Nothobranchius furzeri: one gene and its partners. The protein of the gene in region 1 interacts with the protein of each later gene in a pairwise test. Links are inferred from orthologs where the notes say so. Each region holds a gene or a part of one and is shown in the gene's direction. Other genes may lie near its edges. The genes, in order: rint1, txlna, protein FAM110A, neuronal migration protein doublecortin, lmo2, c8h19orf25 and rbm41.

Region 1 (2,843 bases):
TGAGAGTCTCATTTGATCCAGAAGCAGCAAATTTTGATCAGCTTAGATCAGATAATTATTCCTGTGCTTTGAATTCCCCTCTGGTGTCCAAGGAAGGCCGTTAAAAGAGGTTACTGGGTCATCTTCAACAGAATGAAGTCCAGATTAGCACTCAGCTAGCTGAGAGACTAGATGTGTGGGTGGATGAGCTGGATGTCTGGGAGGGGTTGGTTTTGGCTGGAAACCTCATGGTCTCATCTGTGTCATCATCTTTTCAGATGATCTACTTCTGCATGCACGGGGGTGGTTCTCCACCCAAAAAGGGCGAAGCGCTTCCTCTGGGATAACAATAAGTCCACCTTATAGAGAAGAGTTCAGGCATCCCAGCGTGTCGTATGAGGGTCATGGATGACGGCGGCTTTGTCTTCTCTGATTTGTCGGGGTAAAGAAAAACCTGAGTGAAAAGGCGAAGCTCTTCATTAACTGACCTGTGGACATTCAAACCCTCACCTGTAATCATGAGACCAAAAGAACGAAGGGAGGATCAAACTTTTACTGAGACGTGTTTTGTGTGATCTGATGCCGGGCCTCTGAGTTGGCGCTCTGGTTGTGGAGACCCAGTTTTTGTAGAACTGGATCAAGCACCAACTGCGGTTCTAGCACTAGAGTGTCTTTAGACTGATCATCCTACATGAGAGGCTTTCTGGGGGTTGACCCAGGTTTCTGAAAAAAGGGGTAGGTTCAGAACGGACGTTCCAACTTCCCAAACAAACACCATCCAACACCATCATTGTAGCTCCTCGGCATCTTCTGTTGAAGGATTTGCTTCCAAACATCTGACCTGTCGTATATTTGTGTTTCTGTCAGGTGATCTTGTCGAACCACTTCAGTGACGGTGGAGCAGCTCAGCTTCAGTTTGACATGAGCAGAAACTTGTTTCCTCTGTTTGGTCACCACTGCAGAAGACCAGAGAACTTCTTTAAACAGTAAGTGTTCAACAGCAGGTTGATGATGTAAAACCTGTTCAGGTGGCCTTTTGCAGAAACACCTGTAATGTCTCTGAATCGGGTCCAAGCTGTAGCCTGGAGACATTCAGACTGAAGCTAGTGGAGGTCCGGGCTGAAGCCCATTTGTCTGTGACAAAACCTAAACATGGTCTGACTCATCCAGTTTCACACGCTGGAACAGGAGACGTTAATCCTTAAGGCCAAACAGCTCTCTGTACGTTTTACGGATGGAAAAACACTGAACAGTTCCATTTTAAATAGGGTTGCACGATATATCACAAATATATCGTTATCACGATATCAGCATGTACAATATGCATATCGCAATGAATGGTCAGCTCAAATGTTTGCTACACATAATGCATTCTGTCAATCAGACGTAAGCATGATGTTTTTTTAACAAATCAAAATGAGCTCTTTACCCATTTGGCCAATTAGGTGGGTTCTCATAGGTTAGATGCCCGCCCCGACACTTAATTTTGATGGTTAGCAAACACCTGAGTTAGCTTTGTTCTGGTCTTTCTGCTGATTCTGCTTTTTCCGGGATCCACTGATTACCTTTTCTTGTTCATTTTCTTTTTCCATTTCCTCACATCTTTTGCTTTTCTTATTTTTATGATTTATTTAATCCTTTTTTTTATTTCTTTGTTTTTTATTATTTTTGTTCCTGAATTAAGTTTTTATTTATCACTAATAATATCGTCATCGCAATATTAATCAATATTATCGCATATCGCAGGCTTTTCTAATATCGTGCAGCCCTAATTTTAAAGAATCATTTTCTTGTATCGGTGGTGAATAAAGTGAATGAACTTCTTACTTGACCCATTTCAGAAAATCTAACAAAGGTTTCACCAAAAGGTAGAAACGGTGTCCACCTGATGGTCCACCACAACCTCCTTCAGCATCATCCTCTATAACATGTAGTATCATTTTAAAAACGTCACCCTTGCTATCATGAAGGATGTAATCAAAAGGTGACCTTTATTTCTGATTTGTACCTCTGCTCTGTGTGTCTGCAGTGTGAAGGAGGCTTGCATCATCTTGTGTCTAAGCGTGGGTTCTGCAGTTCTATTGAAGTCCGTCCTGAAACAGTCAGACCAGGATAACAAAGACTGGGAAGGTCCTAAGGATTCTCCACCAGAGTCCACCCTGAATGAGTTGGGAGTTTACTGTTTGTCACCATGTGACGTGCTTATTCTCCTCAACCTCAGAGCCTCTCTACCAGAAATCTAATAACTGCTCTGTAGCAGCATTACATTTTAGTGGTGTGTGACTGTCTTCATGTGTCCTGACATGTTCCTCGTGTAGCTGATGGTTTTACAGTCAGAACATGAATAAAATCCTATTACTCTAAGCTGTCTGTTAGATGATTCTGTTTTCATCAGATGATGCACATGTAGAAATAATTCATCATAACAAATGTTAGAGTGGAGATAGTCCTGTGTTCACTAATGCTGACAGACACAACCTAGCGTAGAAGCAGCAACACAGATAATTTTTTCATTTTTACTGAAAATTCAAAAAAACTACAATTAAAACTGTCCCAGTTTTCTTACACAGAAAGGGACTGAGCAATCATAATAAACTAAATATGCACATTTTCTGATTTTGAATTGTTTGTCCATGTGCAACATTAACTCATATTCCAGTAATGCATGAGCTAAGCTGTGTCAACATTGTTTTTTGGAGTTTCATAAAAGACTGTCACTGAATCATTAAAAGTTTGAATAAATTGGGAAATAATTAGGAAATTAAATTATTGAAATAAATATTTTGTCAATATAGTCAAAGTGTTTACTCCCAATAATTTTTCAAGTGCAAAAAATATTTTTTTTCTGACTGGTTAAATTTGGA
Region 2 (4,235 bases), on another chromosome or scaffold:
TCACCACCAGGTAGTGGTCAGTAGACAGCTCGGCCCCTCTCTTCACCCGAGTCAGATGAAACAACAACAAAGTCGATCATCGAGCTGCGGCCTAAGGTATCCTGTGCCAAGAGCACATATGGACACCTTTATGTCTGAACATGGTGTTCATTATGGACAATCCACAGAAGTCTAATAACAAAACACCACTCGAATTCAGATCAGGGGGGCTGTTCCTCCCAACCACACCTCTCCAGGTCTCACTGTCGTTGCCCACATGAGCGTTAAAGTCCCCCAGCAGAACGAGGGAGTCACCGGAAGGAGCACTCTCCAGCACCCCCTCCAAGGTCTCCAAAAAGGGTGGGTAGTCTAAACTGTAGTTTGGTGCATAAGCACAGACCACAGTCAGAACCCGTCCCCCCACACGTAGGCGGAGGGAGGCTACCCTCTCAGTCACCGGGGTAAACCCCAACGTACAGGCACCAAGATGGGGGCAACTAGTATGCCCACCCCTGCTCGGCGCCTCTCAGTGGGAGCAACTCCAGAGTGGTAGAGTGCCCAGCCCCTCTCAAGGAAACTGGTTCCAGAGCCAGAGCCATACGTTGAGGTGAGTCAGACTATAGCTAGTCGGAATCTCTCAACCTCACACACCAACTCAGGCTCCTTCCCCACCAGAGGTGACATTCCTTGTGCCAAGAGCCAGCTTCTGTAGCCGGGGATCAGACCGCCAAGGTCCCAGCCCTCGTCTGCCACCCGTCACACACTGCACCTGACCCCTTTGGCCCCTCCCACGAGTGGTGAGCCCATGGGAAGGGGAACCCACGTTTCCTCATCGGGCTGTGCCCGGCCGGGCTCCATGGGTGAAAACCCGGCCAGCAGGCGCTCGCCTACGTGGCCCACCTCTAGGCTTGGCTCCAGAGGGGGGCCCCAGTGACCCACGTCCGGGCGAGGGAACACGGTTTCCATTTATTTTATTCATCATAAGAGGTCTTTGGGCTGCTCTTTGTCCGATCCCTCACCTAGGACCTGTTTGCCATGGGTAACCCTACCAGAGGCATAAAGCCTCATTTAGCTCCTAGGATCATTGGGACACTCAAACCCCTCCACCACGGTAAGGTGGCAGCCCAGGGAGGAAGAGGGAACTACATTTATAAAATTTCAGTAGTTAGTACAAACACTTGCTGTAATTTTTTCTAAATAAAATGCATTTTTGTTAGTAGGTGAACTTGCTGTTTACTATTATTAAACCTTAAATTTTATATTAGCATAGGCCACATGTAAACCATAGTCTTACTAATTTACAAGACAGCTGTTCTGCAATGACAATAAATGTTTAATTGGTTTTTACCAGTTTTATCACTTTCTTGCTAGTATTTTTTTTTACATAGCAGAAAGAAGTTGGTGGCGGTAATGCACCATATCACCATTTGAAACCACCATTGAAAAGTCAAAGAAGAAGAATCAAAGTTATGACCGGAAGTTGTTTTTTTTTTCTAAGCCAGTCAGCTACACGCTGTTCAAGAAACCTGCAGCTCAGAAAAATTAGCCGTTTCCTCCTGGAGTCTTCAGGTAAACAAGTCTGTGTTAACCGTAGAGTCAGGGGAATGAGGTAACGTTTCGCGTCGCCATAGCTTTAGTAGTTTTCTGTTTTTTCTTTTATGGTACAAAGTAACACCGGTTGGGTGAAAGTAGTTCAAGACAATTTTAGCTGCGTGCGTAACTGCTAACGAGGGCTAGCCTGTGCCAGCTAATGTAATCTGGAAGCTAATGGAAACTGAAAATGGTCCGAAGTGAAAGTACACATTTGTTTTCCGTTTTGTACATAAACGCCATGTCTATGTATCCAGAAACGTGCTAATATTTTCGATTTTATGCGTGATTTTAAAGAACTTTATCGTCTGAACAGTTGGTGTATTTTATTGTCAAAGCCTTATTTAGACTCAGCGTTAGTTTCGTCTTTTATTCAAAGAGCTAAACATGAAAAATCAAGACACGGAAGAGTCTACCAGCCCGGGCAGCGAGGCTCCTCCACCTGCAGCTGGAGACACGGACGCTCCACTTCCACCTGCACCTGCTGAAGGCAGCAGCCCCAGAGAGATGGAGCCACAGGCTGGCCCTCCACCACAGGAACAGCAGGGGGAAAGCGGAGGTGAACTGCCTTTGGTTTGACTTTCTTACTCGTCCGTCACACTGTGTGAATTCTCAGTTTTAGAACAAATTAGATGAAACAGCACAAACCTAATTAATGGTTTGGTTGTCATCAGACTGAAGTGGAGAATCTTGTCAGTAATACCTGATGTCATCTGGTTTCAAGATTAACATACTAGAAGTCAAACTTTTATTGATGCAATCAAAGCTTTACTTGTACAATAAAATGGTCTTCATTCTTCACGTGTACTCAATCCATACATATCTAGATTATGTCATTTTTATTGTTATATGTCCTGATGCTGCCGACAAGTTATTTTATGCACTGATGTCATTAAACACAATCACACAGTTTAATAAACAAGAGTTTTTAAGGTTAAGAGATCCATAATAAATTAGTTTTGGGGTATTTTCTCATTACTGTAACGTTGTGTCAAGAACAAACTTACTTCAACATTTAAATAAAAGTAGGCCATCACGTCCTTGATGATATTGTGATAATTGTTTTAATGCCTCAAGTGCGATTCCTTTTAGAAGGCACATCATAAACAAATGAATCCCAACAGTTTTCCGCGTGACTGTGTGGGACACATACCATACCATACCATATTTATTTATTTATAAAGCACCATTTCAAAATAGCATGGCAGCTAACCAAAGTGCTGTACATAAAAAAAGCCAAATGCTTGACCAAGAACCACAATAAGAACAGGCAAAAAACATAAGAACAAAGCATAAATAGTCGGAGATAAAAATTCCTACTAAAAACCATAAAATAGAACAGTTAACAGCACTATAAAAATAAAATAATGCGACGAATAATAAAAACATTTGAAATGTCCCAAATAAACCGAAATAAAATACCAGATGGTGCGAGGTGCCAAAAGTGAGCAACTAAATCATAAAAATGGAATTAAAAACTCAAATCCGGTGCTAGATTGTCATGAAAAGTGTCACGGAGGCAAGGCAATGCTAAAGAAGTGCGTTTTCAGGGCCGACTTGAAACTGCTAACAGAGGGAGCCAGACGCACACGGAGGGGCAGGGAGTTCCAGAGTTTTGGGCTGAATAAGAGAAGGCACGCTCCCCCCGTGATTTGTACCAAACCTTCGGAACAACAAGCAGCAGATGATCTGCTGACCGAAGGGCACGGGTGGGAACATATGGGGTCAGCAGGTCCATCAGATAGGATGGGGATGGGCAGTACAAAGCCTTGTAAACATATAACAGGACCTTGAAGTTAATCCTAAATTAGACTGGGAGCCAGTGTAAATCTGCGAGGATGGGTGTGATGTGCATGCGTCTGTCGGTGTTGGTTAAAAATCTGGCCGCGGCATTTTGAACCTTCTGCAGTTTGCTTAAGGCTGAAGCATTAATCCCAATCAGGACAGAATTTGCGTAATCCAGACGTGAAGTAATGAAAGCATGAATGACTGACTCAAGATGCGGGCGTTTGAGGATTGACTTAAGACGAGTGATGCGGCGGAGTTGGAAAAAGCAGGACTTGACAGTAGCGTTGACTTGTGAAGACATTGAAAGGTCAGAGTCCAGTGTCACACCTAGGCTAGTGGCACCTGATTTGAGATTGAGTGGGAGAGTTGAGACATCTAAAGCACCATTCATGTTAGTGGGGCTAAAAAGTATGGCATCTGATTTGCTGTCATTTAACCGTAGGCAGTTTTGAGAAAGCCAGGATCTGACCTGGGAGAGGCATTCTGACATTATAGAAAATGAGTGCTGTTGGTTGATTTGAAGGTAGATCTGGCAATCATCTGCATAAAAGTGGTAGTTAACCCCGACGAGACTTGCTAAAATCTTACCAAGTGCTAGTATGTAAATTGAAAAGAGGAGAGGACCCAGGATGGAGCCCTGTGGTACTCCCCATGGAAGTGGGACATTGGGAGAAGAGCAGTCTCTAACATGAACACTAAAACACCGACCATTAAGGTACGACTTAAACCATTCCAGGGCAGTACCGGTCACACCCACCCAAAATTGGAGTCTGTGAAGTAGGATGCTGCGGTCAGGTCGAGTAAGAGTAACCGCACATGGGAGCCAGAGTCAGTCAGAATCAGGATGTCATTGAGTACCTGAATGTGTGCAGACTCTG
Region 3 (4,066 bases), on another chromosome or scaffold:
TAGAATAGAGTGAATTTTATTAGTCCCACAGCGGGGACATCCACTCATTACAGCAGCACACACACTTATAGACGCAGATTACAGTAAAACTGATACCAGCCATGTTTGCTTTGATAACTTCAATAATTTCACGCTGATGAACACATGAACATAATCCTGTTTAGTGGATGCAAATACAACATGAAGTTAGCTTAACATGATAGATGTTTTTTCTTGGAAGGAAATAATAACTGGTAATATTATGAATGACATGATATCCCCCCCCCCCCCCCCCCCCGGAATTACAATTAAAACATTTACATTAATTATAATTAAAAGTTCCATTTGTGACATGTAGCTGTAACTCTACTGCAGATATAGATAGATAGATAGATGGATGGATAGATGATAGATAGATAGATAGATGGATGGATAGACAGATAGATAGATAGATAGATGGATGGATAGACAGATAGATAGATGATAGATAGATAGATAGATAGATGGATGGATGGATGGATGGATGGATAGATGGATGGATAGATGATAGATAGATAGATAGATGGATGGATAGATAGATGGATGGATAGATGATAGATAATATGAAGAAGTTCAGGAGAGTTGGATGTTGAATTGTCCTCACGAAAAGAAAATTTGTATTAAACAAAGGTCAGTTCCCTCTAAAGTCAGAGGTATGGAGGATTAGGGCCACTGAAAAGAAAAGAAAGAGAATTTGGACTTTTTTCCCTGAATTCCCTGTCAGAATTCTGAGATTAAAAGTCAGAATCTGAGAAAAATGTAAGAATTCTCTTTCTTTTCTTTTTTCTTTCTTGTCAGTGGCTCTAATCCTCTTCCATACAGAGTAGAAATAATACCCCCCCCCCCCCCCAAATGGCCAGCGACTTGTCCGCTCCCAACCCCATGACCCCGTCTCACTGTTTGAAATGTTCAAAAGTTGGCAGCCCTGTTCTGTTCCGTCTGAGGTAAAACTAACATTCACCCTGAAGGAGAACACCTGACCTTTGACCCTAATTCGTTTGGACTGGTGTGTCTCACCCTCTTCAGAAACGAGACTGAATGTTGTCTATTCGGGCTTCCTGAGACAAGACAAAAAAGGGTCAAAGAAAAGAAATACGCATTAGTAATCAGATTACAGAACGAGACCGGAAGCGTGACCTTTGGGAAGGATCCCAATCATTCAGCTTGCTGATAGGGCAAAAACAAAGAGAGCGTCACGTGGCCAGAGAGCTTCGGCTTGCTTCCTTGAAGGAACCTGATTGGTCCAATCATCCAAAGGGGCGGAGCTTCGAGCAGCACGCGAGTTGTCAGACAGGTTTGTCTTCTCGGCTTGAGCTGTTTAGAGGTTTCAGACAGTCTCGCTTTTGTCCTCACAAACTCCTCAGGAGCTCCTCCAACCACTCAGGTGAGAGCCCGGTAGGGCGAAGAGTAGAAGTAGGAGCAGGAGATAAGTTTAAACGGTTATTTAGAAGGTTCCGCACGCGCCTTGAGTTAGCTACCTGTTGTTTACCTGTCAGCGTTTCCGTGTTAGTCAGAAACTCCAGGAGCCCGCTCCTGGTGGTCAGGGCCGCCTCCTGAGGTTCCCCCCTGCCTCCAACCCTCCCAGGAACACACTGGTTGTTGCTTTTGTTCTGGAGGCCTGCAGACCTGAAGGCAGGTGAGGTGACGTCCCACGGCTCGGTCCGCAGGAGCCCGGGCCCGGCTCAGACAGGAATGGGAGCTATGTGCAGAATTTTCCTGGCAGACGGCTCGGGAGGCCTCCCGGAAGTTTCAGCCTCTCCAGTTTGTTTTTGTTTTCATGGATCCCAAATGAGGCGTGTGTGTGTGTGTGTGTGTGTGTGTGTGTGTGTGTGTGTGTGTGTGTCTGACAGCTGGTCCTCTGATTCACCCCATCACCCTCCTCACGGTCCCTCCTAGCTGCAGACCAAGTGTCAGTCTCATTGTGTGCCAAAAGATGGATGACTGAGGAATTGTTCTAATCCGACTTGCGCCGCCAGCCAATGGACTTGGAAGTCTGGGGGAGTACGTGGGAAGCCATTGGCTGGGAGAGTAAATAAGTGGGCGTTGGGGTTTCGGGTCTTTTGTGCCGTGAGCAGTCCTTTCTGCTCCCCTGACTGATGTTTGTTGTCCACAGGGAGCCCAGATGTCCAGGCTGAGCTGCTGAGATGGCATGAGGATGACGACCGAGATTAAATCCAGGTTTTATAATCTAAGGTAGCTGAAGGACAACTGGAGCTGACACCATGCCTGTGGAGACGATGCAGCAGCCTCCACGGCAGCCAGTGAGGGCTGCCGTCGGGGTTTCCCCTCCGCGTCTACGACCCAAGGGACCAGATTTCTGCAGGAGAATCGCAGCAGGAGCACCAAAGCAGAGTGCCGTAGAAAGACTGGAGGCCGACAAGGCCAAATACGTCAAGAGTCAGGTGGCTCTTTCCAGAACGCAGCCAGTCGGGCCTCCTGAGGTGAAAAGGCCTCTGCTGAACCCCAACACACCCCTGCGCCCCACCAGAAAGCCCAACCTCCAGACTGGTACGAAACCAGAGGGCGTCCAGCTTGACCTGGAGCACCTTAGTCACCTCATCAGTGATCTCCCAGTTGGGCCAACGCCTAACTCAGCGTCCCAGTCAGAGGACTGTAAGGCTCCTGGTGGTGCTGTGACTGCACACGGTTCCCTGTTCAAAGCTCAGCCGATGACGGACAAGCCACGCCCCCCTCCACGTCCCCTTCTGCGTCCCGACTGCTCCAGTCCAGCTAAAGTCAGACAAAAGGTACCTGCAGCTGCCGGGACAGAGAGTCCAGGTTCTCCTGGGGCTCCGGCTGCAGGAACCGTACGCAGAGTGGACGTCATGCCTCAGTTTGGCCCTGTGAGGACGGCCTCCAGACCCCCCCAGTTCATACGGCAGCCCCTCCAACCCAGACCTCTGATTTCCCACGTACTGCTGCGCTCAGCGTCGTCGCACCAGCGCGTCTCCCAGCCAAAAGCTGCTCCGGGTTCTTCTCCCTTGAAACCACTTGTTGCTCCAGTAAAACCCGACCACTCTAACCCACCTCCCGCTGACGCTCCTGCACCACTGCCCCCCACCCTCCCCGATTTCCCACTTCCTCCCCCCTCTCCAGCCATCACCCGTTTGTCATCCTCCAGCTCCAGAAAGCGTCCGTCATTGACTCGGTCCAAGTCCGACATGAGTGACCGGTACTCCCGGGCCGGGACGGAGCTGGAGCGCTTCTTCAACCTGTGCGGTCTGGACCCGTCGGACCTGCGTGAGCTGGCTGCTTCCAGCTCCGACATCGTGTCCCTCGCTCGCTTTCACAGCGTCAGCGCTCCGGGATCGGAGTGTGGAGGCTCGAACAGAGGGGTCAAAGAGGAAGAGGAGGAGGAGGAAGATGCCGGGAAAGCTGCAGACCGCGTTCCCTATGGGATTTCTGTGATTGAGAGGAACGCCAGAGTGATCAAGTGGCTCTATGGGCTAGGGCAAGCCAAGGACGACACAACCAAGAACACTAATTTATAGATGGACCGTCTGAGTTTTATTATGAAAGGGAAACTCGTTTCCTCTTTCAGAGTAAAAGTGGCTGCCCAGGTTGTTGAGTAAACCGGTGAAAGGCTGAATGTGAAGAGTCATCACCGTTGGCTGTGGTGATGATTTCCGCCCACCATGTTTCAGCGTGCGCGGATCGTCCTGTTGATAAAAATTACATTAAAGAATTCACTCAAGCTCTTTGTTTGGTCCTCAGTCATCACCTCAAACATAAAACAACGCACTCAGCATCAGCAGGTGTGTTTTAGGACACCTGAGACCAGGGGCGTGTCCAGGGGGTGGCCTGGGGTAGCACATGCCACCCTTGGAATCTAATTGGCCACCCCAGGTGCCACCACACTAATTTACCTTCAAAAAGGCTTTTCATTGTCCACAAAAGGCTTGGGGGTAAAACAAAAAAAAGCATAACCATTGGTGCCACCCATGCACAAAGTTGTGCCTCACCTGGGCCACCCCATTTTAAAAGATCTGGACACGCCACTGCCTGAGACCCACACGAACGGGAACTTCGAGTTTTAGGCGTCTCTTGA
Region 4 (4,270 bases), on another chromosome or scaffold:
CACCCTTGTTCTTAACCACTGTGTTTTTAAAGGCTTTAATCACTAAATACTTCTAAAGACATTGGAAATTTATTTTCAGTTTTAAAAAGGAAAAACATCCCATTGTTCACACGGAGGGACTTAAAACTTGCACTGGAACTGGTCACTAGAGGGTGCTGTGGGTCTTTTTGACTTCAGCTCCTACCTGACTACATCTGCGGTGGTCCTGGAGGATGTAAAAGCTATTTCTCTAAACTGGTGCCATTCAGGGATGTATCTCTGAAATAGGTATGATTTGATTTATTTATTAGTTTTACACAAAAAAGAGACTTCAGTTGTCTATAATGCCTTTGGGGCTCTGCACACAGGAGGCGACATCGCCTCTCCATTCATTTTCAATGAGACATGTGCGACAAAGCGATAATCGCGGGTCTCCCTCCTACTAAGCGAAACGCGAAAACCGTGCGTGTGAAATTTTGCGCTCCTGCATGTGTCGTGCACAGGCGACCCAGCGACACGAGCAAGGAAGTGGATCCGTGTGTGAATGTGTGTGTGAATGGGTGAATGACTGATTGTGTTGTAAAGCGCCTTGAGGGGTTCCAGGACTCTAGAAGGCGCTATATGAAATACAGGCCATTTAGCTTTTACCATCCCAGAAAGTTGAAATATTTCCAACTTTTCGTCGCTGTCGCTCGGACGAGGACCAATCAACGAAGGTTTCATTCACTGACCAATGAACGGACAGGATGCTCCGTACATCTCCGAGCGAACATGAAGGAGAAGTTGATTATTATTATGTTTTACATAGTAAAATCAGAAGTAAGATTTCACATAACTCTAGCAGCACCTTGTGAAACATCATATCTACTGCCTTTTTAACTCTGAACCGCTTAAATAACCTTAATTCCCTCCAACCTGACACAGCCAAACAAAACAATGGACGTTTCGATTTCGCCATGGAACAGAACGCGTAGACGGCTGTGCCACTGGCCGCTGCCGCGGGTCACCTCCCGTGTGTCAGGTAATAAAAGCGACAGCGACAAATTTCGCTGATCGCGGTCGTTTGTCGCCACCCGTGTGCAGAGTCCCTTTCAGGTGGAGGAAGTTTCAGCCTCCTCCAGGCCTGTCCTTCCACTGACCAGGGGCGTGGCCAGGGAGTGGCCAGAGGTAGCACATGCCACCCTTGGAATCTGATTGGCCACCCCAGGTGCTACCACACTAATTTACCTTTAAATAGGCTTTTCAATTTCCACTAAAGGTTTGGGGGTGAAACAAAAAAGCATAACCAATGGTGCCACCCATGCACAAAGTTGTGCCTGACCTGGGCCACCCCATTTTAAAAGATCTGGACACGCCACTGCCACTGACACCTGTCAGCTCCACCCCACGTGGACTTGCACCTTTCTCCCCTTGGTGGGCGGGTCCAGCGCTCTTTAGGACCCAGTGGCTCCTGCAGGAAGCCAGGCACATGCTCGGCTCTCAGACTGAAGCAGACAAAGGCAGAGAGAGGAGAGACGGCGTGCAGCTATCCAGCAGCATCGAATCACACACACTTACACTCCCCTCCCCGCACACACACACACACACGCACACAATCACACACACTCCCTTCACTCCGGGAGCTGCGACGCAGGTGAGTCCGCTTCTGCCTGTTTGAGCTCCTGTCTACTGTTAGAACCGAGTTTAAGTGATAGTATGTGGACCAGGGAGTTGGTACTTATGGTTAATTAGGTCTGCATGAGGTGACTTTAGTTGGGCTGGAGGTGTGCGCACACCCAGTCCCTCCTTTTTTTTATTCTGAGAAGTCAAATGGAAGCTTTCTGCCATGTGGTCGCTCCTATCATCATAAATCAGAGAAACTTTTATTTTCAGTGTGGTAAACTATATTTATTCAGCTAAAGCATGCAGATGCACGAGGCAGAACGTGCTGGTTTGTCAGAAGAGTGTGTGTGTGCGCGCGCGCGCCGACTGAAGTGTTGTGTGGGAGGCTCAGCCAGGAACACAGAACCAGCCAAAAATATCAATGACACCACGCAGAGTTACTGCAATGCTGCCTAATGGCCAGTCTGAGATTCGTTTGGTGGCACTCTGTGAATTTTGTCTGAGGAACTGACCCAATCGGAACCAATAAGAAACCCTCTGTGCATTTTTGAAAACCTTATCATGATGAGAGAGGCTGAGATGTGCTGGTGTGAGGATGCACTTGATGAACCTGAGCTGGAGTCTGAGCCGGCTGCTGCTGCAGTAGCAGTGATGTCACCGTGAAACCAGGCTCCCTGTTGGAGACAATGGACTGTCCTAGTTGATGCTCCACTGGGGAAGGGTCACGGTTAGCCATGGCTATTAGTGCAGCAGATGGGCCTGAAACCTGGCCTTTGTCAGCTGAGGAGCATCACAAAAGTCCCACCCCTGTCAGTGTTCTGGGATCATAAAAAAAAACCAGTCAGCAGCTCAGCCATGAGGGTAGCATGAGTGGAGCGTCCTCCACATGGGTGGGTGGTGACCACGTGTATCCCCCTGTCTGTCAGCACTGTCCTCTAGAGAAAGCTGTCTGCTTATAGGTTGTCTGGTGCGTTTTAATGAGGTGGGTTATAAACATCAGTCTTTTACTTGTTTAAAGACTTTTTCTATGAGGAGTTAAAGGATCCATGTCAGTGGTGCAAAGCAGCATTAGAAAATAAAAGTAAATATTAAACTTTAGGTTGATCACTTAAATGTTTCTGTTTGAATATTTAAGAAGAAATGTCTCTCTTGATCCATAAAGGAAGCTATCCTGCATGCGTTAGCACACGTGTTCCTGCTCCAACACACCTGCCTCTTCATCAAGTTCTCAAGCTAGCCTGTTGGGCATCGATTCAGATCGGGTGTGTGTGATCAGAGAAACCTCTGAACGGGCAGGCTGTGGCCCTCAGGTTGCGTCCATCAACTTAAATCCTAAAATAAACAGGCCGAAAAATCTGAATATGTAATTTGATTAAAACATGTGTGTGAAATATTCTTTCTGATTAATTTTAAAATTGTTTTTAAATGCAGTCTTCTAAAACTAGAACCTTCTCGATGCAAATCCACTCCCAACATCATCAAAACTAATTAAGTTACTGAAAGGCAAACATCTGAATAGACTTCAGCAGAAACCAGTTGTGTTGGCCCAACGACCAGAGGAGACCTGCGGGATGATTTCATTGTGGAGGTGTTTTGATGAGTTAAGTGATGGCATCAGTGGAACAGAGCTTTAATCTGTGCACAGCTGAGTTCCTCTTTAATGTGGGTGTGGTATTTGACGGTTGTGCACCTGTGCTCACCATCAAATCTGCATAGCAGTGTTTGTTACCAGGCTGCGGTCGTCAGAGGTTTTATCTGAGGAAAAAAGGTGCACCAATCGTCCTCGTCTGCAGGTAGGTTAAGAGACCCAACAGGCGCATCATTTGTTTTTAGGACCGATAAACCGTCTCTGATTTAAATCGGCACACGCTTCTTTCTGTCGCTTATGGAAATGATCAGAGGAGAAGCTCTAAATGTAAAATGCTCAGTTCTATCAGATATCAGCTGTTGAGCAAACCTCATTAAAACTTGTTAAAAAAACTCACAGGTGTTTCAGAAAAGTCTTTAGAAGTTAAAGTTGTTGTTTTAAAAAAATTATTTGATTTGATTTTAGGAAAATTGCTTTTAAAATAGCCTCTCAGAAAAAAAGCACTAAATATTTAAACTCTGATTCATCTGCAAAATTCAATTCAATTCAAAGATACTTAATTAATCCCAGAGGGAAATTAGAGTTTCAGTACACACTATTCTAGAATTGGTGACCGTGGTCTTTCGCAACCCGAGTCGCGCTACCTTAAAAGATCTGCCTCTGACGAAGCTGTCATGAATCAGGATAAAATGTAGAATTTGTTTTACATAAATTAGCTAATGCGTTATTTTTCTGATTTGTGAAGAGTTTATCCAAGTGAAACGAGGCAAAACCCCCAACCCATTCACATAAATAAGGTGTTGACTTAAGGGTCAACTTAATCTAGTTTACCTTTTAAAGTTTGAGTTCTCATTCAAGATTTATTCCTTTCAGTTTTTCCAAGTCCTTTCTAGGAAGGTCGTTTTTCATTTAGCTGGTTTTCTTTGTTGCATCTGGTGAGACAGCTGTTAACAGATGCTTGTAGGTGGAATTGCGGGCTGCTCGCTACGTACACACGTTTAATGTGATCATTTATTTGGATGTATCCACCACAAAAGGCCTCTAGTCTCGTGTTCATTGAGATTTGGTTTGAAGATCTTTGCCTTTTTCTCATTTTTTCAG
Region 5 (4,024 bases), on another chromosome or scaffold:
AGATTTGTTGTTTCGACTCATAATATAATATTCAAACAAAGTTATTATTTATGATATTTGTAAAACTTGACATATAGAGTTGAAAGTTTTCATTTAAGTTGACATGACTCAAGTTTTTAAGGCAGCTGTTGAACTTTCGTTTTTAAGTTATTCTGTCCTACAATTTATTACAGTGTACAGTTTGCTTCTGATCTTCATGCACTGTTTCTGACTGCTGGAACTAAAGCGCTTTATCTGTCCTCACAGTCCAACTGATGTGTGTGTCCCTCCCTCTTTTACCCTGCAGCTCTGGCACTAGATAAGACATGTCCACTGGCGCTTTGGTTTGAAAAGGAAAGTGTGCCAAAAACGACAAGAAATACATTTTATTATAGGGGTAAAAGATTAGTATATATATTTTTTTAATAAATCATATTTTTCATTCTAGAACGTTCTATAGTCATTCTAGACTCGTTAAGCTTTGCTGGCAAATTTCTGAAGAGAAAAATGTAAAAATCAGAACTTTAAATTTCACACATTATCTTTGAAGGGTAATGTTCCTCTTCACAGCGTCTGCGTAAATGTACGAGGTGTGCACATTATTTAAATTTGAACATTACATTTCCTTATTTAAAGCAGAAATTCAGCACATCTGTTTAATGTTGAGGAATGTGGCACAAAAATGCAGCACAAGCTCAATTTGAGATGATTCTAAATTTTCTTTATTCATTTATTTGCAAAACAGCAGGCCACATATTCTAGAACAAAACATAAGAATATATTTTTATTTGCCTTTGACATGAACAGTTTAGATGTTTTACTTGCATTAATTACAGACAAAGCAAAGGAAGACATGATGGGCAGATAAAACTACCAGCAGGTGTTTTTATCAGCTCAGCTCCTGCAGCAGATGGACTCATTAGTCAGTCACGACCATCACGACCCTCTGCACGACTCACAGACCAGCAGCTCTGCTGTCGCTTTAAGACCCGTTTCCCCTCATTGTGAAGCGCTGAAACAGGAAGAGAGAAGCGAAAGCAAAGCCCGAAGGGCCCCAATGTATTTAAACGCGCTGCTGCTGCAGCTGCTGGCCACTCGGACACGCACTACTTCCTCCCCGCAGAACCCTCCTTATCGAACCGCACTGGCGCGGTTCTTCTAGTCGCTGTGGGACCTGCAAGGCATGGAAGTGTTGCTGCCTCAGGAAATGATGACAGCGTCCTCCTCCATCGGCGTCTAGCTGATTAGAGAGGGAGCTGTTCTTGTTCTGCATCTGTTGGAAACAAGGGAGCTGCTTCTTGAGTTCGCTTTTTATTTCCAGCGATCTGAAAGTGGTTTTTACCAGGGGTGCAGGTGCAGCGCGCCTTCCAGTATCCAGATCAGGCTCGAGAATGACTTCTACCATAGAGAGGAAAACACTGGAAGCAAACGAGTAAGTCAACTAAAATAAACACATTCTATCAGAAAACTATCCCACGTGCAAGACGATGAGATCAGATGTTTCTGCTTATAATATTCATAAAGAAAATTTAAGGAAAAATTAAAGAAACGGATGTAAGGTAAAACTAAACTAAACTACATGTTTAGAGTCAGATGTTGCAGCCATAATGGGAACAGGAGTTGTAACATAAGTGTATTAAGGCACACTGTAAAGGCGTTGGACCAAGGTTGAAACTCGCTTTACACTGGGAATGCTGGCCAGAGCATTACTTAAAGCCCCTCAGAATATAAAGAAGATGAGTCATAATTGTAGTTGTGCGCCTGGCTTCTTTATTATAGCCCATAGGTTAGGACAAGTAAATCAGGATAGCAGTTGATAGACATGATAGCTCATGGGTGTGGTTTTCCTGCAGAATGACAAATATGACGTATGTATAACTTAACCTTATTAAACAATTAACACACATCAGAATATTAACCTTCCGCCACCACATCATCAGTTAATAACCATACTAAACAGTCAGAGGTCACTAAATCATCATCATCTGCTCACATAAAGCCACTATATTAAGGTTTGTCAAGTTAACCTTGACGTCGTCGGTCAACTTCCGGTCTGTAAACAAAAGAGTGCTTTTATTTTCCCGACTGGGTACTTCCGGTGGCGGGTTAGCTTAGCTCAGATACTCTGAACCAACTCCCATTCCCGCACTGTAACAACACCGCTGTACTTCTCTACATTCCCGTATACTCATACAAAGCACATTCATGCCTCCTCGTACGACACCAGCAGACCAGCGCCGATCGGTCCCGAGGGAAGGTATATCAACAGCGTTTTCACAGGGACAGGAAATGCATAATAATTAACTCGATAGCCATAATCAGTCCAACATTGCACTTACTGTTCATCCACGCACACACTCGACCATGTCCCGGTGCTATCCCCCAGGCAGCAACATATCGCAGAGAGGAACCCGGGACACAAACTAGAGCTACGTAAACCTCGAGAGATATGAACCTAAAGCCATTTTATCTCTATCTCTAGCTGGACTTCTGGAGCAGACTTCCGGCCAACTACAAAATAAGCGTAACAAAGGGAATGTTTTCCCAAAATGCAAGACTTTGAGGGCTTTTCTACAATAAGCCAAGATCAAAAATCCATTCATTTTTGTCTGCTTATCTTGGGTCAGGTCATGGGGGGTAGCAGCCCAACTAGAAAGTCCCAGACTTCCCTTTCTCCTGCCATTTGGGCCAGCTCTTCATGAGGAAGCCCAAGGTGTTTCCTGGCCAGACGAGAAACATAGTCCCTCCAGCGTGTCTTGGGTCTTCCTGTCTTGTAGTTGGATTTACCCAGAAAGCCTCACCAGGGAGGTGTCCAGGAGGCATCCTAACTAGATGCCTGAGCCACATCAACTGGATCCTCTTGATGTAGAGAAGCAGCGGATCTACTCCAAGCCCCTCCTGGATGACCGAGCTGCTCACCCCATCTCTAAAGACACCCTGCAGAGAAAACTAAATTCGGCTGCATGTATTCACAATCTCATACCCAGAGCTAGTGACCATAGGTGAGGGTTGGAACATAGATTGACCGGTAAATTGAGACGCTCAGCTTCCGGCTCAGCTCTCTCTTCACCACAACAGACCAGTACAACGCCCACGTCACAGCAGACGCAGCACCAGTCCACCTATTGATCTTGTCCTCCATCTTTCCCTCACTCATGAACAAGACCCTGAGACATGTAAACTCCTCCACTTTAAGCAGGACCTTGTCCCTGACCTGGAGAAGGCATTTACCTTTTTCCGGCTGAAGATCAACTGTTAAAAGATAGAAAAGAAATATTAAATATTACTTGCATATTTTAAAATAAATGTTTCAAAAGTTCTGGAAAAACATCTTCGTTGTTTGATCCGATCAAGTGTTTCAAGAATCCTTTTCACATTTTTAGTAGTAGCAACATATTATTTTTCATTTTTTTAAAGAAAATTCCTAAACAATATTCCTGATAGGTGTGTATGAGTCATATCTTACATCCTTTACTAACTCAGGACCAGTGGTGCTGCAAGATTGTCATGGGGTTCCAAGCAAACACTGCAGACTGGAAAGTGTGCTGCAGTTTATTTGAGCGTGGGAGTGGGGGGTGCACAGACAGAAATGTGTGGCAGAGCAGTGAGGGGGAGGAGGAGTGCCCTGTTGGGTAGTGTGAGACAGCCCAAGTTATGTCAAATTACAGCTTTTCACAGTCCCATAGAGCTCCGGGAGTTGACGTCACATCTCCCGGCATGCAACAGTTCAAATCGAAACGGCGCCATATTGGCATGCAGAAGCCGGCAGCTGGACTATTTGTTATTGTCAGAAAATTCAATCAAACGGGAAATATGGTAGATTCCTGTTGTGCCCCAGGATGCAGAACAGACGCGGACGACATAAGGAATGAGTCATCTACAGGATTCCCCAAGTTCCGGAGCGCCGCAAACGTTGGATCATTGTAATAAAACACGTTAGTGACCGGGATAAAATGAAGCTGTGGGATCCCGAGAGTAAAGGTTTTCGCTTATGCAGCGACCGCTTCATATCAGGTACTTAAACAACGTGTCCTCAACTGTGTAT
Region 6 (3,278 bases), on another chromosome or scaffold:
GAAGGCTGGAGAAGATCAGAGAAGAGAACCTGCCGCCCACGAGCAGAGAGGTCCACGAGTTCCTGCTGGATCTGACAGACTGACCCGGATTCATGCGTGTTTACCGGGATGATAAACACGAAGGAAACAGACGAATAAAGTCTAAATTAAGGTTTTGTGTTAATAAAATTATCTTTAATACATTTTAATTTTTTCTGCTACTTATTGGAACTCATTTATTTATTTATTTAGTTCACAAAAGTAAAATATTCTGATTAAAAATAAAATATTTGAAATGTTGCTTCTGTCAGTTACTGGAGTAAAATGAGAAAGAATCCACTCAACATTTAGAGATTTAAAAAATCTCAATTAACTGATTTTAACCTTTTGCCCCCCCCCCCCCCCCCCCCCCCCCGGTCTTTTTTATTCTGGTTTTTACTTTCTTCTGACTGATCATGAACTTTGTGATCGATTGCTCTGGTCTACAGTGTGCTGTCCTGACGACAGACCGGTACAACGCCCAATAAATTATTAGCAAAAATCAGAATTAAGAAATAAACACAATGAAATGAACCGGTTCCAACGTTGTTTGAACCAATTTTTACGGCTAAACGAAACTAAAATTAATCGACTCTTTCGGTTCCCAAACGGCTCCTCACATTTTTTGTGCCTGAGCCACCTCAGCTGGTTCCTCTCGGCATAGTTTTTAAACTAATTTATCACCAGAAATCATGTAAAATCCATCTGTCCATTTTCATCCGCTTATCCGGAGTTGGGTCGCGGGGGCAGCTTCTACTAGCTGAGACGTTCTCTGCTGTTTCCTGGACTCTAAACCAACAGCAGCCTTCCCCGTCGTTAGCCAAGATGGGTGAGCCCATGAATGTTAGTGACAGTGTCACGTAGATCTGCCAGGCTTTCCTAGAGATTCCCCGTCAGTTTTCTATCAGAAGCTAATAAAGGAGATAGATGTAGGAGACTATTTTCATGTTCAGCCTGCATGAAACACTCAGAGTGCCTGATTATCAGAAATAATAATTAAAACATGTTTTTCGGTGTTCAACACCTTTAACAATACAGTCTCTGAACAAATAAACATTAACGTGTATTACATAATATACAAGTACTACATGTAGCAAAATCACATGACTTTTTTATTACTTTATTTTTTTTAATATAAAACAAATCACGGTACAAAAACATAAAAACACGCTCTGCCGACGTGGCTTGTGACGTTTTGACGTAGGCTGTTAATGAACTTCCGGTTTGGATGTTAAAAGAACGTCCGGGTCGTTTTGGCTGCTCGTCGTTCATAAACTACAGAAACGTTTGTTTCCCATGAGCAGTCCGGTTTAAGTCGTTGCCGACGGGCTGAGAGCAGACACATCAGAAGGTTTCCTCCGTGAAGAATCAACTCTGGTAAACTTTAGAGAACGCTTCCGCGCCGCGCGAGCTGCGCGAGCAGCAGCCCGAGTTTCATACAAAAAACGTCTAAATTAAACAAAAATCGGCTGCCAGCTAATGTTACTTCCGTCACTAACGTCATTTTTACCTCATAACAATTGTTGGGTTGTTCTGAAATGTTCGGCTTGAAATGTTCCCGCTAGACTAATAAATCCGTTATTTTCCTACGAATATTGTTGCATTTTAAGCTAATTCTGGTGTATCACCGCTAACAGTTAAATTTGGGTGTTGATGGTTTTTGTTTATGCCGAATTGGTAAAATAAAAAAAATCGTATTTCGTGTATTTAAATGTAAGACACGTGACCTTTTCCTCAATCATCAGCGTGAACTGTGTTTTAGGTGGATTTGTCGTCTAAGATGAACATTGGCTCTAAGAATAAGAAACGTGTGGTTCTGCTCAGCCGCCCAGAACTTCCTAATGTGGACCAGATCCTGGAGGACATCAGCAAGGCTGCTCCTGATGATCCGGTCTTCAACGTCCTGGAGAAAACTGGGAAAGGCGAGTCCACATAGATGACCTTATAACAAACACGGTTATCTTCTTAGTTTAAATCAAAACTTGTCTTGTTCTGTTTAACACTTCACAATAAAAGCCCATTTCTGTTTTGATGTTCAGCATCTTGGTTACATCATGTTTAAGAAAAACGAGCAAAACAGTTTTTAAGATGGCCAAGAATGATATTCTTTATAAAATCAGGGATGCTTGTGTTTCATGGCCTTGCTCCATCATTCTGGATTCTGGTTGTTGAGCTTTGGTCTCATCTGCTCTCTGCAGAATGGTCCCTCCTTGCAGACAGTGAGGTGGAGCACCGGTTCCTGCAGTGTCGCCGGTACCTGGAGCTGAATGAGCGGCTGCGGGAGGCTCAAGGCCAGCTCCAGCGGCAGTGGGAAGAGCTACTGGCTGTGGGAGAGCAGCTGGACAGAAAAGTGGAAGAGATCAAAGGTCAACTTCTCTGACTCTACACCATTTCTGCTTGGGACACTTTCTCTGAACTCTGACTGGTCCAAGTGCCTTTGAGCCAGACAGCAGTGGCGCCACAGTGCTGGATGAGTTTTGAACTCTCAAATGGGCCGGGCTCTGCCGACCTCGTATCTGCCTCGCAGTAAAAGCTGCAGAAAGTCTTCTTTTGAAAGGATAACAGCCGTTTGGCTCACAGTGAAGGAAACGCAACGATGAGTCACATGAAAAGTAAATCTGAGAAGAAAGGAGAGTAAATCAGGAGAAACGGACAGAAATGAACAAATGCACAACTTTAATGTTTGTAATAAAAGTAAGTTCATCTGGAAAAGCAAAGCTGACCGGGGAAAAGTAAATATTAAAATGATCGTAAGCATTTTATTTTTGTCGTTTCTTCTCCGTACACAGAAATATTTAAAGTTTTCTAAATACATGAAATATTTTTAAAATGATTTGATTGTTATAAAAGGTTGTAAAAACAAGAGCAAACAGATGGAAAGCATTTTTAAAATAATGCCCAAACAAACAAAATCAAGACTAAAAGGTTAACATTTAAAGGACCACTTACCAACATTAAAACACCGGGTTACCCAAACAGAAGGTGTTTTAAAAAACACACGTTGATATTAAAAATCGACGCACTAAGAAAACACCCGAGTGTTTTAAAATCCCAAAGTCGGCAAACTACGATGTTAACCTTAAAACAGAGTCAACATCAAACAAAGATTCATTTGGATCACTCAGAGTTAAAACTATTAAAGTTAAAACTCATCAAAACGAAGGTGTTGAAACCAAAACGAGGCCTGGAGGACAGCAGAACCCTGCAGCCTTTTACCCCGGGTGTGGGTCATCAGGAGGATTCAGCTCAGCTGGGCTCCT
Region 7 (3,339 bases), on another chromosome or scaffold:
TAGTGTCAGCTGATAGATTGTTGGTAGGAGGTGGAGAAATATGAAAGAAAAGTTTTAGTTTCTGTTCCAGATGAAGACGATGTAGATGGACAGCAGGAGGCGTCCTCCTCTGACCCCATGGGTCCTCTCTACAGAGACATCCTCACCTGTCAGAAACAAACAGGACCAACATGCAGCTCTGAAACCGTCCAATCACAAAGCTCCCAGAACTCCAGCAGTCTACAACCTACAGAGTCTTCTCACCATCAGTCGGATCTGCAGCGAGACGCCTCAGAGCAGCAGGACGAGAACAAGTTACAGCCGCAGCGACTAGTACCGATAAATCTAAACCAGCCAATCGGGCGCCTGTGTGGAGCGGCAGGGGCAAGGTCAGGAGCACAGCTCGCCATCAGCGGGGAGATCGAAATGATTCCAGAGGAAGAAATCCTGAACAGCCGCGCACCCGAGGAGGAGATCCTGAGCATCCCGAGGTTCAGGAACTACCGTCCAGGAAAACCTTCCAAGGTTCCAGCAGTTTGTTACCTAACCTGTGTGTTTCAGCTGTATGAACCTAAACCTGATCCACCTCCTCTCACAGGTTCTGTGTGTGAAGAACTTGAGCCGGCAGGCGTCCGTAGCCCAGCTGGTGGCGCTGTTCTCCAGATTTGAGCGGAAGAGCGAGGCTCCGGTGCTTTACCGGCTGCTGACAGGAAGGATGAAGGGTCAGGCTTTCATCACGCTGCCAGGTGAGGACGTGGTTCTCAAAGGTAAAACGTAACGACCACAGAAACGGATCTAAATGAAGTTCTTTTAAACGTAAAAATTCAAGTTTTTAATCCACGTGACTTAAAACTTGAGAACTAAAACATTTAAACGAGGAAACAAGTGATCCTGTTTACTTTGATAATTAAATGAATGTAACCTCGGCGGTTTCTTTTTCGACAGACGCAGAAACGGCCCAGAATGCATTACAGTTGGTCCATGGATACCGGTTGCTAGGGAAGCCTTTGGTGGTTGAGTTTGGACATGAACGTCAGGAAGTGGAAAAACAAGGAGAAGGAAGCGTGGAAAGAGACGGTGCTGATGCTGTGCTGAAGTCTGGCCAGCAGATGTCACTCTTAATCGGGTTCAAATGATTCACATCACTGAAGTATCCATCCATCCATCATCTAAACCCGCTTATCCACACAGGGTCGCGGGCGGGGGGGGGCTGACACCCATCTCCAGCAGTCTCCGGTCAAACAGGGTACACCCTGGACAGATGCCAGCCCATGGCAGAGACACACAAACAAGCACACACACACACACTCACACATCAACCTGACAGTCACGTGGGTCAATTCAGTAGAGTGTGAGAATGGAAGTAGTTGAGAAATAACCAGAATCTGAAGGGACAGCGAACACGAGGACACCTGGGAGGAGGGAGAAAACGTGGACAAGTGCATTGGAGCGGTGTGGAACGTTGCAAGGAAGCACAGGAGCGGGGAGCAGGCTTTAGCGAGTTAGAAGTGCCAGTCCACACTCCTGATCAGTAGGTGGCGGCAACGCGCCTCAACGTTGCTTCATAGCCGCCATAACGCCACAAAGAAGAAGGAAATGTGGAAGGGACTGTGGAGGCGGGGACACAGGACATGACACCTGCATCCTGCTGTTTCGCCTGCACACACCTGAGCGTCAAAGAAGCGTTCACGGTAAAGTGGAGTGTTGTGCGAGTGTCTCGCCTCTATGCTGCTGTTGTTGTTTATATCAGCAGCTGTAGGGGGAGTCGAACTCGCAGCCAAAGCTTTGGACTGGGCTGTTACTGCTGCTGCCCACGTCTACACCCAGAATGAACTCAGACATGGCTGCTTTGGTTGTGCTAACTGATAGACGTCATCCTGCAGCTGAAGTCCACACGGGTGCGTTTGTGGTTTACAAAAAAATAAAACTAGATGTCATAATCTGGTGAAACGAAGCAAACTAATAAGGAGGATTTTGTTGTTAATACATTTGCCGTCAAATGTTTCGAGCTTTTATACCTTGTTTATTTTGCACTAATGTCCATTCGTTTGAATTTCTCTAAAAGTTCTCTTGTTCGCTCTTCCTTCTTCCATCTCAGGAACGTTGCTAAGCTGAGTCCCATTCTGTCCCACTCTGAACTTGAGACAGTTCTCCACACCCTCATCTCCTCACGCTTAGACTACTGTAACTCTCTTTTCACGTGTCTGAGCAGAACCTCCCTGAACCGTCTACAGGTGGTTCAGAACGCCTGTGCTCGGCTTCTGACCAAGTCCTCCAAACACACCCACATCACCCCGCTTCTCCTCCAGCTTCACTGGCTGCCAGTCAACTTCAGGGTTCATTTCAGGATCCTGTGTAAATACAGTTGAAGCAACTTTTTTGTTCAAATATTCACCACAAGATGGCACTGTGATTTTGTTAATGCCCTAGAAAGTTTATTTAAAGTATTATTTTTCATGTTTTCAATACATTTCGTAGCATTTACAGGTGCACAGAGTTAATAATTTTTTGTATTTGAGTAATTTTGAATTTGTTTATTTTGATAAGGTGTGTTTAAGAGTGCTGTGACGTCACTTCCTGTCTCATAGCTTCTGAGATTTTATTGATGCGCACGGACAATTTGTGCCATTTAAGAACATTTGAGAAGAAGTTAAGTTAAATGTTTTCAAGTCTACCGTTTTGTCTACTAGCAGGCCAAAGTGGTTTGTTTATTCTTTATTTAAAAACTGTATGTTAGCAAACTTAAGGCAAATAACTTGTTAATTTGTACATGATTTATGCTTTTTCATCAGTTATACAGTGTTCATGTGGTGTAAAGATAAAGAAGATGCAAGACCGCATTAAACATCAGTAAAAGGAACGCTCGTGTCTCTCGTGTATGTAAACAAGCCGGCACATCCTGGTTCTGAACTATAGGGCCTTACATGGACAAGCACCATTTTACATTGTTGATCATCTCAGTCCCTACACCCCCAGCAGGTCCCTGAGGTCCAATGATCAAAGCCTACTGGTTGTGCAGCACCAGGCTAAAGCTTGGTTTATGCTTGACGCATTCACTTTCTGCTTGGTGATGCGGCTCGTGGATGGAACGCGCTTCACAACTTGCAGCGTTTATGGTTCATGCGGCTTGTCTCTGCAGTGAGCCAATATTCTCCCAAACTGTAGGGGGCAGCATGGAGCTCTACAGCATGCTTCCAACACTACACCATAGTAGAAGTAGAAATGACTGTTGTTTACAACATGGCATTCCAGCATTTTAAACAGCGTCCTCGTCTTTTCCGACAGTGCGAGCTATTTCTCCTCAAGAATTATTAACAACATGTTGATCACGGTGATCTCTGAGAGCTGAATCGTACACAC

Evidence for each region.
Region 2: the proteins of rint1 (region 1) and txlna interact in binary tests that used the Homo sapiens proteins (3 or more experiments, as listed by UniProt). The two-hybrid records come from large-scale screens. The link is inferred for Nothobranchius furzeri from reciprocal best matches to the Homo sapiens genes RINT1 and TXLNA.
Region 3: the proteins of rint1 (region 1) and protein FAM110A interact in binary tests that used the Homo sapiens proteins (3 or more experiments, as listed by UniProt). The two-hybrid records come from large-scale screens. The link is inferred for Nothobranchius furzeri from reciprocal best matches to the Homo sapiens genes RINT1 and FAM110A.
Region 4: the proteins of rint1 (region 1) and neuronal migration protein doublecortin interact in binary tests that used the Homo sapiens proteins (3 or more experiments, as listed by UniProt). The two-hybrid records come from large-scale screens. The link is inferred for Nothobranchius furzeri from reciprocal best matches to the Homo sapiens genes RINT1 and DCX.
Region 5: the proteins of rint1 (region 1) and lmo2 interact in binary tests that used the Homo sapiens proteins (3 or more experiments, as listed by UniProt). The two-hybrid records come from large-scale screens. The link is inferred for Nothobranchius furzeri from reciprocal best matches to the Homo sapiens genes RINT1 and LMO2.
Region 6: the proteins of rint1 (region 1) and c8h19orf25 interact in binary tests that used the Homo sapiens proteins (3 or more experiments, as listed by UniProt). The link is inferred for Nothobranchius furzeri from reciprocal best matches to the Homo sapiens genes RINT1 and C19orf25.
Region 7: the proteins of rint1 (region 1) and rbm41 interact in binary tests that used the Homo sapiens proteins (3 or more experiments, as listed by UniProt). The two-hybrid records come from large-scale screens. The link is inferred for Nothobranchius furzeri from reciprocal best matches to the Homo sapiens genes RINT1 and RBM41.

Annotation. Positions count from the first base shown.
Region 1 is NC_091741.1:64,260,970-64,263,812, reverse strand, and holds the end of rint1 (RAD50-interacting protein 1), read left to right. Parts: intron 1-846; coding exon 847-965; intron 966-2,008; coding exon 2,009-2,222; 3' UTR 2,223-2,343; downstream 2,344-2,843. UniProt on the Homo sapiens protein: Involved in regulation of membrane traffic between the Golgi and the endoplasmic reticulum (ER); the function is proposed to depend on its association in the NRZ complex which is believed to play a role in SNARE assembly at the ER.
Region 2 is NC_091751.1:3,230,716-3,234,950, forward strand, and holds the start of txlna (alpha-taxilin), read left to right. Parts: upstream 1-1,435; 5' UTR 1,436-1,448; coding exon 1,449-1,548; intron 1,549-1,948; coding exon 1,949-2,128; intron 2,129-4,235. UniProt on the Homo sapiens protein: May be involved in intracellular vesicle traffic and potentially in calcium-dependent exocytosis in neuroendocrine cells.
Region 3 is NC_091755.1:41,859,566-41,863,631, reverse strand, and holds protein FAM110A, read left to right. Parts: upstream 1-1,266; 5' UTR 1,267-1,402; intron 1,403-2,131; 5' UTR 2,132-2,240; coding exon 2,241-3,509; 3' UTR 3,510-3,712; downstream 3,713-4,066.
Region 4 is NC_091750.1:46,841,016-46,845,285, reverse strand, and holds the start of neuronal migration protein doublecortin, read left to right. Parts: upstream 1-1,470; 5' UTR 1,471-1,612; intron 1,613-3,272; exon of another isoform or gene 3,273-3,374; intron 3,375-4,270. UniProt on the Homo sapiens protein: Microtubule-associated protein required for initial steps of neuronal dispersion and cortex lamination during cerebral cortex development. May act by competing with the putative neuronal protein kinase DCLK1 in binding to a target protein.
Region 5 is NC_091744.1:61,983,211-61,987,234, forward strand, and holds the start of lmo2 (rhombotin-2), read left to right. Parts: upstream 1-1,224; 5' UTR 1,225-1,370; coding exon 1,371-1,411; intron 1,412-4,024. UniProt on the Homo sapiens protein: Acts with TAL1/SCL to regulate red blood cell development. Also acts with LDB1 to maintain erythroid precursors in an immature state.
Region 6 is NC_091748.1:78,709,091-78,712,368, forward strand, and holds c8h19orf25 (UPF0449 protein C19orf25 homolog), read left to right. Parts: upstream 1-1,207; 5' UTR 1,208-1,395; intron 1,396-1,780; 5' UTR 1,781-1,798; coding exon 1,799-1,940; intron 1,941-2,216; coding exon 2,217-2,398; 3' UTR 2,399-2,778; downstream 2,779-3,278. Other genes in the region: interferon-induced protein with tetratricopeptide repeats 1, read left to right, coding at 1-83.
Region 7 is NC_091750.1:69,603,267-69,606,605, reverse strand, and holds the end of rbm41 (RNA-binding protein 41), read left to right. Parts: intron 1-58; coding exon 59-504; intron 505-577; coding exon 578-725; intron 726-924; coding exon 925-1,115; 3' UTR 1,116-2,839; downstream 2,840-3,339. UniProt on the Homo sapiens protein: May bind RNA.